2 linked regions of the Daphnia pulex genome follow. The protein of the gene in region 1 purifies or fractionates together with the protein of each later gene. This does not show direct contact. Links are inferred from orthologs where the notes say so. Each region holds a gene or a part of one and is shown on either strand. Other genes may lie near its edges.

Evidence for each region.
Region 2: the proteins of ubiquitin carboxyl-terminal hydrolase 22-like (region 1) and histone acetyltransferase KAT2A-like purify together in Drosophila melanogaster (affinity purification with western blotting, with the first as the bait; 3 studies listed by BioGRID). This does not show direct contact. The link is inferred for Daphnia pulex from reciprocal best matches to the Drosophila melanogaster genes not and Gcn5.

What each region holds. Positions count from the first base shown.
Region 1 is NC_060023.1:10,811,597-10,816,007, reverse strand, and holds the start of ubiquitin carboxyl-terminal hydrolase 22-like, read right to left. Parts: upstream 2,836-4,411; 5' UTR 2,621-2,835; coding exon 2,498-2,620; intron 2,438-2,497; coding exon 2,305-2,437; intron 2,244-2,304; coding exon 2,028-2,243; intron 1,963-2,027; coding exon 1,790-1,962; intron 1,681-1,789; coding exon 1,535-1,680; intron 1,466-1,534; coding exon 1,346-1,465; intron 1,272-1,345; coding exon 1,013-1,271; intron 930-1,012; coding exon 751-929; intron 664-750; coding exon 514-663; intron 420-513; coding exon 377-419; 3' UTR 1-376. UniProt on the Drosophila melanogaster protein: Histone deubiquitinating component of the transcription regulatory histone acetylation (HAT) complex SAGA. Catalyzes the deubiquitination of histone H2B, thereby acting as a coactivator in a large subset of genes.
Region 2 is NC_060028.1:7,764,841-7,769,384, forward strand, and holds the start of histone acetyltransferase KAT2A-like, read right to left. Parts: upstream 2,835-4,544; 5' UTR 2,647-2,834; coding exon 2,482-2,646; intron 2,367-2,481; coding exon 2,088-2,366; intron 2,007-2,087; coding exon 1,869-2,006; intron 1,814-1,868; coding exon 1,680-1,813; intron 1,609-1,679; coding exon 1,316-1,608; intron 1,250-1,315; coding exon 1,159-1,249; intron 1,097-1,158; coding exon 952-1,096; intron 882-951; coding exon 676-881; intron 606-675; coding exon 385-605; intron 327-384; coding exon 166-326; intron 96-165; coding exon 1-95. Other genes in the region: centromere protein S-like, read left to right, coding at 3,204-3,218, 3,276-3,433, 3,503-3,569, 3,631-3,777; thyroid receptor-interacting protein 6-like, read right to left, coding at 4,129-4,260, 4,325-4,445, 4,511-4,544.

The sequences.
Region 1 (4,411 bases):
AGGAGGAGCGGGGTGGAGAGAGAGTTGCTTGGGATTTACAATCAAAAGAATCCAAAGGGCAGAAACACCAATGGGAGGGTTTATGTCAGAGAAATCTCGCTTTTTTTTTCGTCTTTCAATTCCTTGTTCTAACCATTTTGTGTTTTTTTCATATTTTATTGAATCGTGAAAAAAGAAAAAATGAAAATGGTCGTTTTCTACGGTCATTAACCGCCGATGAACTGTCTGGAAGTGGAAGTGAGAAAGGGAAATTAAAAAAGGAAAAACAAAACAAACAAAAAAAAGGTCTTGTGAATGGAGGGATGGATGTTGCATGCAAAAAAAAAAAAGTTGACTCGGTTGAGCTGCCCTTTACAAACATTTTTCTTCTCCATTTCTATTCATACTCCAATATCATCTTGTGGTAGAAGAGTAGGTACCTGAAAAACCAAATCACCCAATTAATATCCAAGAACAACCAAGCAAATTGCAAAATATTTTAAACTAAGTTTGTTTTTGTGGAATATTTGATACCCTTCACTTTGGAGGACGTCGCGAATATCAGCTTTGGTGATGAGATGGTCATCGCACTTGAACCAATGGTCTCGGTGCTGCCGGATGTAGGCCGTGTAGTGACCGGCTTCAATGGTTCCGACGTGGTTGATCACAGCAAATAGAGAATACCTGGTGGGGTGAGAAGGAAGGAAGCAACGAGGATTCCGTCACAGTCACATTCGGTCGTTTTCTCAATAAACCGAGCAACAAGTTTACATGTTTTCAGTGGAAATAAGGGGCTTGTGGACGGGCCTATCAGCCCGGTCCGGAGAATCCGAATTGACGTTGTTATTGATGTTTCGACGGTGGGACATGAATGGACTCATGTCCAGGTATTCTGGAAAGGCGATGAATGACGAGATCTTCTTATGGAATCGATTGGAATGTTCAAAGCGCTGCATAAAGTAAAGAAAAAAATAACGATGAGTGGTTCATAATATGACGTTCAAAGTCAATAAAAAAACAAAACAATACGCACCTTTAGGTGAAAACTAGCAACCACTGGCAGTTTCTTCATCGTCAGTTGTTTTGTGGATTCTTGGTAGCTAAGACATCGCGAACACTTGATCTTAGCCGAAGATCCCAAGTGCTCTGCCCGGGTGAATCGCTCCAAACAGTCCTGCAAGGAAGTGGGAATCGATCCAGGGCCGTTGCCAGTGGTGACGACTTTCGTGCTGGGTGACGGACCGAGGTCCAGGGAAATATCCCAAAAAGGATCTACTGTTGTAGAGACACCGCTGCAGTGAACAAAAACAAAATAACCGTTAAGACCAGCAAATTTAGGACATCAAACATTTGAAATAGTTATTACTGGCAAGCTTGACAAACGACGTCTGACTGCAAACCACCAGTGAAAATTTGATCTATGATACATGTGCACCGATTGACAGAGTTCTCTTGAGGCTGAGTCGACTGTTGCTCATTTGGTCCTCTGTTAAAAATCATTTATATTTAGAATGTCACGTTTCTCACGACTTTTATAGCCAATGAATAATTTCACCTGCAGTGTCGATGGAGTACATCCAAAGTTGCTATGAAAAATTCGTGGGCGTCTTGCTGTTCATATCCAGCTAAATGACGAGCGTGAGTCCATATCAAGTGAAGAAGTCGGTGCAATGTCAGAGGAGCCTTGTTCCCCGAATAGAACTGCGAAAGAGAAGATTAAAAAAGAAGCGATAAGTCTAGTAGGAGTGTTATGAATCCGAAAATAGATTTCTCACAGGAAACGAGGATTCTTGTTTTTTGGATGACATACCTCTTGGAATAGGCGAGAGATTTCGCAGACCAGACAGCGACTCGGTTCGTCTTGGAACTGACAAATATGACGATCCGACAAGAAGAAATCTCTGAGAAGAGGTACTTTTAAGAGAGCCTGTACTATGCAGTTCATGAAACAGGTGTTGCCCAAATTCACTAGACCTCTGAGTCCTGCCATGAATGAAACATGGAGTTAAGATAAAAGATTGGATAATGAATTTTTTTAAATAATGAACCGATAGTGGCAGAGTCTGTGATCTTCTTGCGTCGTGTATGCTTTTTGAGGAGCTCAATTTCTTCCTCAGAAGGTTCCCATGAATGATAGACTTGACCCAGTCCCAAGGAGAGAGAAGCTTTGGTTTGATGCTTTTGAGCAATAGTTTCCAATTCTCGGTCATAGACGTAATCCCCACACTGAAAGCAGCACACAACTCCATAAGTCAGATCTACAGCTGTAAAAAAAAGGAGGCTGCATTAGTATCAATGAGATTTGATTTTTGGTTGTCGAATTACCTAAGAAATGTTTCCGCTGCTGAGAGTGGGCCTGTATGTGACCAGCACCATAGCAGCCAAAGAAAATGCAGTGAAGGCAGGCATGAAGCCTGGGTCCTCTTCGCTGACAGACATGACACACACACGATTTGGCCTAGCAACAAAAATGATGAGTAAAGGAGTGATTTAAAAGAAACAATACTTGAACTCTTACCTTGCGTTTACGGGCTTCTGAAGATGTGCATGCCACAAAAAAGGAATGAATGAGCCGGTAGGGCCTAGTCCCCTTGGCCGCTTTGAAGTTGTTCAAGTGGAGACAGCCATGGGCAGCCGACATGGCCACCGACGGTGAATTAGACTTGGGCAAAATGTTGGCGGCTTTATAATTCCACACGTTTTAATAGAGACCTTATAGAAAATTAATAAATTTCGGCCTCTACAAGCCCAACCTCGACGGCTTTCTCAAGAAGAAACAATTTATCTAAACGCCATAGCTTCTTTCCTTTTCTGTAGGCCAAAAAAAAAAATTTATTCTGCTAAAATGGTAAAGCGCCATCGCCATCTTCTGTCCAAAATAACAACCTCGTGCAACGTTGAGCAGACAAGATTTTTTTGAGGAAAAATGGAGGGAGATTTTTGTGTGAAAACCGCAGACAACAAATCAATTATATCCTGGCCGCCGGAAATGTGGTAACCGCTAGCTTTTGTTCGGAAATAATACATGGACTAGTGAACTTTTTTTTTGGTGCAGGAAGCAATTCCCCAGGAGATAACCTCATTTTATATAATGATTTCAAAAGATTGGAACGAAACGTGTTTTTGTTTCCCCCTTTTCTTCCGAATTCAAGATAATTGGCAATGTTTTGGCTGGGTGAAAATGAGGTCGGGATTTCGAAGAAGACGTTTTGCCAGAATCAAAATGCTCGTGGAATGTGAAACTCTTGCATTAAAAAAACAACAATGTTGGAAAGTGATGTTTACACGGATGATGAAGCCCTTGGATGAAGTGAAACGGAGTGGAATAAAATCGAAAGTTGAGCTATTGCAACGAGCCGTGAAATAACCAAACGTCACCGTCTCCTTTATCGACGATATTCGACCACAATGGCCGAGATCGACGACGTGTGCAACACATCACATTTCTGCCATAAGTAAGTGGCAACTGGTTTGCAATCAATTTTGGCAATCAAACTAGATTATGTCGGCGATGCATTTCAATCGCCACATGTCTGAATGAATTAAGATCAATCCAAGGTTAATAAATTCGACATGGTCAATCAGCTGGTGTGTGTGTGTAAATAGTTATCTCTCCCCACGTGTTAAGTCATTCTTGACGCGAAATTTTCATAATAACGCTTTCGAGGTGGCCAAAAAACCATGTGATATCCAATTGGACACGATGTGTCGTGAATAATGATGCTGTTGTGGAATAATCTTGTGGCCTTGAAAGTCAAAATCTTGAAGAAAAGAACTTGGGGATGTCTGCCAGTGTTATATAGTCGAAATGCCCTTCAAAATGGATTCTTTTTCATTTTATTTTTCTTTTCTTTTAGGTTCTCGAAGCTTAACTTTATAGCTGATAATAGAAAAAAAAAGGACTCCCAAAGCCCCTCGAGGACGTGAAGAAGAAACTGGAAATGTGTCTAAATGGCCGCTGGAGAAGAACTCGCTTCCCAATATTTAAGTATATACATGTTTTTCTATACTTTCAAACGTATCCAACAACCCTATGGCTTCGCCCTGCTGATGACCAGCCCATATAAGTATACGGTAATTCCCTTTTTTCTCTCGAGACCTGCTGGTGTATCCAATTATGCCATAATCGGCCATCGTGGAATTGTGTTTTTCATCTCTTTTCTTTTTTCGCTGCCAACCAACCGAGTCATTCTCACCCTTCTTCTTCTTCGGTTGTTAAAGGGCCTGCTGGAGAGTTTCCTACATCTTGTCTGTTCGTTCATCCTCGCATTGTTGAACACACGTAACAACTGAGAAACATTTTTCCTGGTTTTCGAATGTTTTGGAAGGGACCAGCTGCCCAGCTGGTGTCCCCCTTTATCGATTCAAATGAATGTTATCCGTTTTATTTGATTCGTAAACGTTTTAGAAAAAATATTTTCATGGCAACCCT
Region 2 (4,544 bases), on another chromosome or scaffold:
ATAGGAATCTCTCGAACACCATCTTTAAAGCAATTGAGACCTGGATGAACTTGGCTAATTTCTTGCTGCTTCATTTCAATTAGATGTTTGACAATCTAAAAATTAAAAAAAAAAAAAACAATTAAGAAAGGAACAATAATGTTGGATATTAAATCTGGGTAAGACCTCTTTCTGCTTTCGAATGATTGCGGTAAACTCTGTGTAAATAATACGGGGATTTAACTCGCATCCCATTAGAGTTGCTCCTTCGTAGTCCTTGATGTAACCGTTATAAACGGACTTTGGAAGCTTTATTTCTTTACTAAACCCTTGTTTCTTGAAATAACCTGCACATCACACTGCATTAGGAAAATTATTTGAAAATAAAAAATTTTGTTTGCTCACCAATGGCGTATTCGTCGGCAAAGGTAAGAAAGTGAAGTACATTGTGTTTGATATGGTAATCCTTAATGTGATTCATCAAGTGAGTTCCGTACCCTTTAACCTGCTCTGAGGAGGTAACGGCACAGAATACGATCTCGGTGAAACCTTGGATGGGGAACATTCGAAAACAGATACCACCGATTGGTCGACCATCTTTGATCAACGCCAAAGTCCGATGCTTGCTACACGTAAATTGGATAACATTTGTAACTTTGGTGATTTAAAGTATAAGAGACAAAATTTAGGACTCACCAATCGAAAACCAACCGTGTGATGTATTCTTTCGGCATTCGTGGTAATTGATGCGAAAAAACATTTTGTAACCCAACCAACCATGACATGGTTTGTTTGGATACGGTCTGAGTAAGAGAATTTCCCACTACGTGAAAGGATATCAAACCACGACGTTCTTCCTGTTTTGCCGCTTCGTCTCTTGGTGCATTTTCTGGGAAGACGCTCTGGAAAACCAAAATAAAGCTCTGTTTAGAAGAGCTTAATTCTTTACACGTAAGAAATTTGTTGGCTTACTTCGGGACCAAGCATCTTTTTGGGGTCATTAATTACGGCAAGAATTGTGGCGACAGTTTCTTCAGATATGTCATGATCCAAACGTACCCTTTTCGCATCACCTTCCACACTAGGTTCGCTGTCAACTTGCCGCTTTAACAAGTTCCTAATTAAAATTGAAAATTATTTCCATGTAGACATAGGGTGGACATGAAGTTTCGACATTACTTTTCTACATCTTTGGAAATTGATCTGACAATCCCGCTGTTTGTCAAACGATGGAAGGTTGCTTCGTTGCTGGACTGGGTTACATTTTCCTCTAATATCAAGAATTATCAAGAATTAGATTAAACATTAATAAGTTGGAAAGCAATGAAATAAATACCTTTGATGTTCTCCTGTTGATTTGGGAGTCGATGAACATACGACGGATCCCACACAGGCGATGCATCATTTCCTAGTTCCATTTCCATGTCTGCCAAGAACTTCGGAAAATTATTTATGATCATATCCCGTCGTTCGGGTGGCAGTCGGTCTTTCTCGGCTAAGAAACGATCCATGAGCTGTCGCTGCACGGTGGAATAGACCAGTCGAAGAAAGGACCGACCAAAAATAGCACTAGTTTCATATTGCGGTAGGGAGTCGCAATAGCTCGGAACATTGCAATAGCATAACCACCTGCCAGAGTGTAATATTTTTAAGTTAAAAATAAAATTTCAAAAGCTAATTTAAACTGAAAATAGGTTTACCTCGTGTAACTAATTCGATACACGGAGAGGTCAGCTTGTGGATAATGTTGTTTCCACTGAGTAGGGGTTTCCAATTTCCAGTGATTTAAACAGTGGATAAACATTTTGGCAAGATCACACATTTTTTGAAACTCCTATGAACACAATAAATTTAATTTAATGTTTTAAAGGATAACTTTGATTTCTTACCTTGGGGATTTGTTGACTGTATTTGAACATGACAAAATTAGTAACACCCTTGCTAATACTTAGTTTTTCAAAGGGTGGAGAGCCTAAAGGCCCTTCTACAACTGGTTTTGTCATCTGCATTATACATTTCCTCAAGAGCTATATTCCAAAAAAATAAGAAAATTTAAGAAAACATTTTTATAATACTTGTTTCACTAAAATGATTTCAAATGTTATTACTTTAAAAAGGCAAAAGTAGACTTGTTTGTTGTCTGGATCTTCTTCCTTGTTAACACAGACAAATAAATTTTCTATGTCCACTACCAGACTTAAAAGTTGGTTTAGTTCTTCATTACTGGAATTTATCAAGTGAGATACATGATCTGAAAGGTTATGTGAACAACTGCGGCATGGATCAGTTAAATTTGCTGATGGAAGAACCACATTTATTCCTGTATTGTTGACATTTGGTGGTGTAGTAGGATTTTTCCATCCATTGCATTTGCAATTTTCATCAAACTGAAAAAATAATTATGGAGAAATGTCTCAGTTAAGTGGTTCTTCATTATAAAAATAAAAATAATCTTAAGAAATAAAGCATGTTCATTATAGAACATTGAAAATGAAAACCCACCTTGCAACTTGAATAAACAGCTAGCTTTTCCAATTTCTTAGGATGTGGCCATTCACGAACCTGCTGCTTCCGCAGTTGAATTTTTTGAATGTTGTTCATACGATTCGTACCAACGCCAGCAGCTGAGTTGTTATTTGCCGCAACTGGGTTAGAAGTGTCAGTCATATTGGAAATGTTTTTATTCTTGAAATTCACGGGAAACCAAAATCTGATATCCTTTCTTGTAGTTGTACATCACTTTTAGTGAACGTCATAAATATACTAACTGAACTCAGAAGTACGCAATTAGGGGAATTACGGGGATTTCTAGCAGAAATCCAGGCGCGTCGCGAAAATTTTTGTTTACCCCCGGTGGCGCAAGATTGCCACATTTACCTTTATCCTTATGTTTTTGGGAACGGAAAAACGAAACATAAAAATTAATTTTATGAAGAAAAGATTTTTTAAAATTTAAACTTGACATAAGACAGCAAGTGAGAAACTAAAAAACTGTCGAAAAAAACAAGTGAAGAAAATCGCCTTTTAAAATACGATTTGAAAAAATCCGACACTGATGTTTGACTCCAACTTCACTTAACAACAAGTCAACAACATAAGAAATTATGAATTTACGTCTGAAGATTTAAAAAATTTACCCTGTTTACGAAATCTGTTTCTTGAAGGACTAAACTTCAGGTGTACTTTCCTGTGTAATTGTATGGGGGAATAACCTGGATGTAAATATGGATCACGAAGAAGTAAGCAAATCTATTAGCAGACCATGAATCGCACATAATTTTCGTTTTTACTTACAGCGGCTGAAAGCGTCATTGCATTTTACCGTGGGTAAAATGTGTGAAGAACAGGAAGCTAGAACTCACATTAGTTTTGACAAGCATGTGATAGCAACAATAAATGAAATTGTCTGGCAAAAGATCAAGCTGGTTACACAAGATTTGGAAGCTTTTGCCAAGTATTAATTTTCTTGATCGCTTATGTTAAAATAAGATGTATGCATTGTTATTTACATTTGTTTATTGAGGCATGGAAAGCGCACAACAATCAATGGAGATGATGTGAAGCTGCTGGTTCGAAGGAATGAAGATTTAGTAAGTATTCAAGTAAAAACATTGTGAGAAGCCAATTGAGTCCATTGAAAAATTATTACAGAAAGCCATAGTAGAAACACTAGGATCAACCAACTCAGAGGATAATGCAAAAATAGACAAGGGGAAAGCATTGGTGAAGAAGAAGAAAATCGAGACTGTTCCACCAGAAGTGACTCTGGACACAGATGATGATGACATGTTCACATGACTATGATCTAAGCTGTATTGTTCTACATCAGGGAAGACAGTCGTTTTGTGCGTTTGGGAGGATTATGTGGTATGCGGAACATCAAAAATAATTAAAATAAACGACGCTTCTAAATCGCCGCAAATAGAAACACCGAATACATATTAAGAGGCGTAGAAATTCCAACCGATTATTATTTTTTTTATGGCTACCAAATAAATGGTCGAATGTCGTTTAATTGTGTCCTGTCGTCAGGCACTCGTCATTTAATACAGAGTTACATAGCGGAAATATATTTTTTTAAAAGTCACCGACACATTTTCCTTGTTTAGTTTCCCTTCCATTTGTCTTCTAAAACGTGAAATATTTTCTTTAAAGCTCGGTCGAAGTGGTGGAAGTCAACGCATTGACTCTTATGGCATTGCAGGATTTACACAGGACACGCCCATCCAACGGGTAACAACCGCGCCCTTCAGCTTCCGACGATAGAACTAAATCGCAGTCCTAATATCCCAAAAAACCATGTTAGGATGTTGACAATTAGAAAAGTAAATATATGCCAAGTTACCTCGCATTTGTAACATTGTACGTGAAAGCTCCGATCCAGAGCGACAACACGAACAGTTTCTTCCTGTCCAGGCTCTGGCATGATGGGATCGTGACAAACAGAGCAGCGCGGAGCGAATTTCCTAAAACCAAATATTATAGTATTTTTAACGAAGGTTCGTCAAGAAACAAGAAATAACAATCGTACTTGTGGAAATCGTCAATGCAGTGAATCCGGTTGG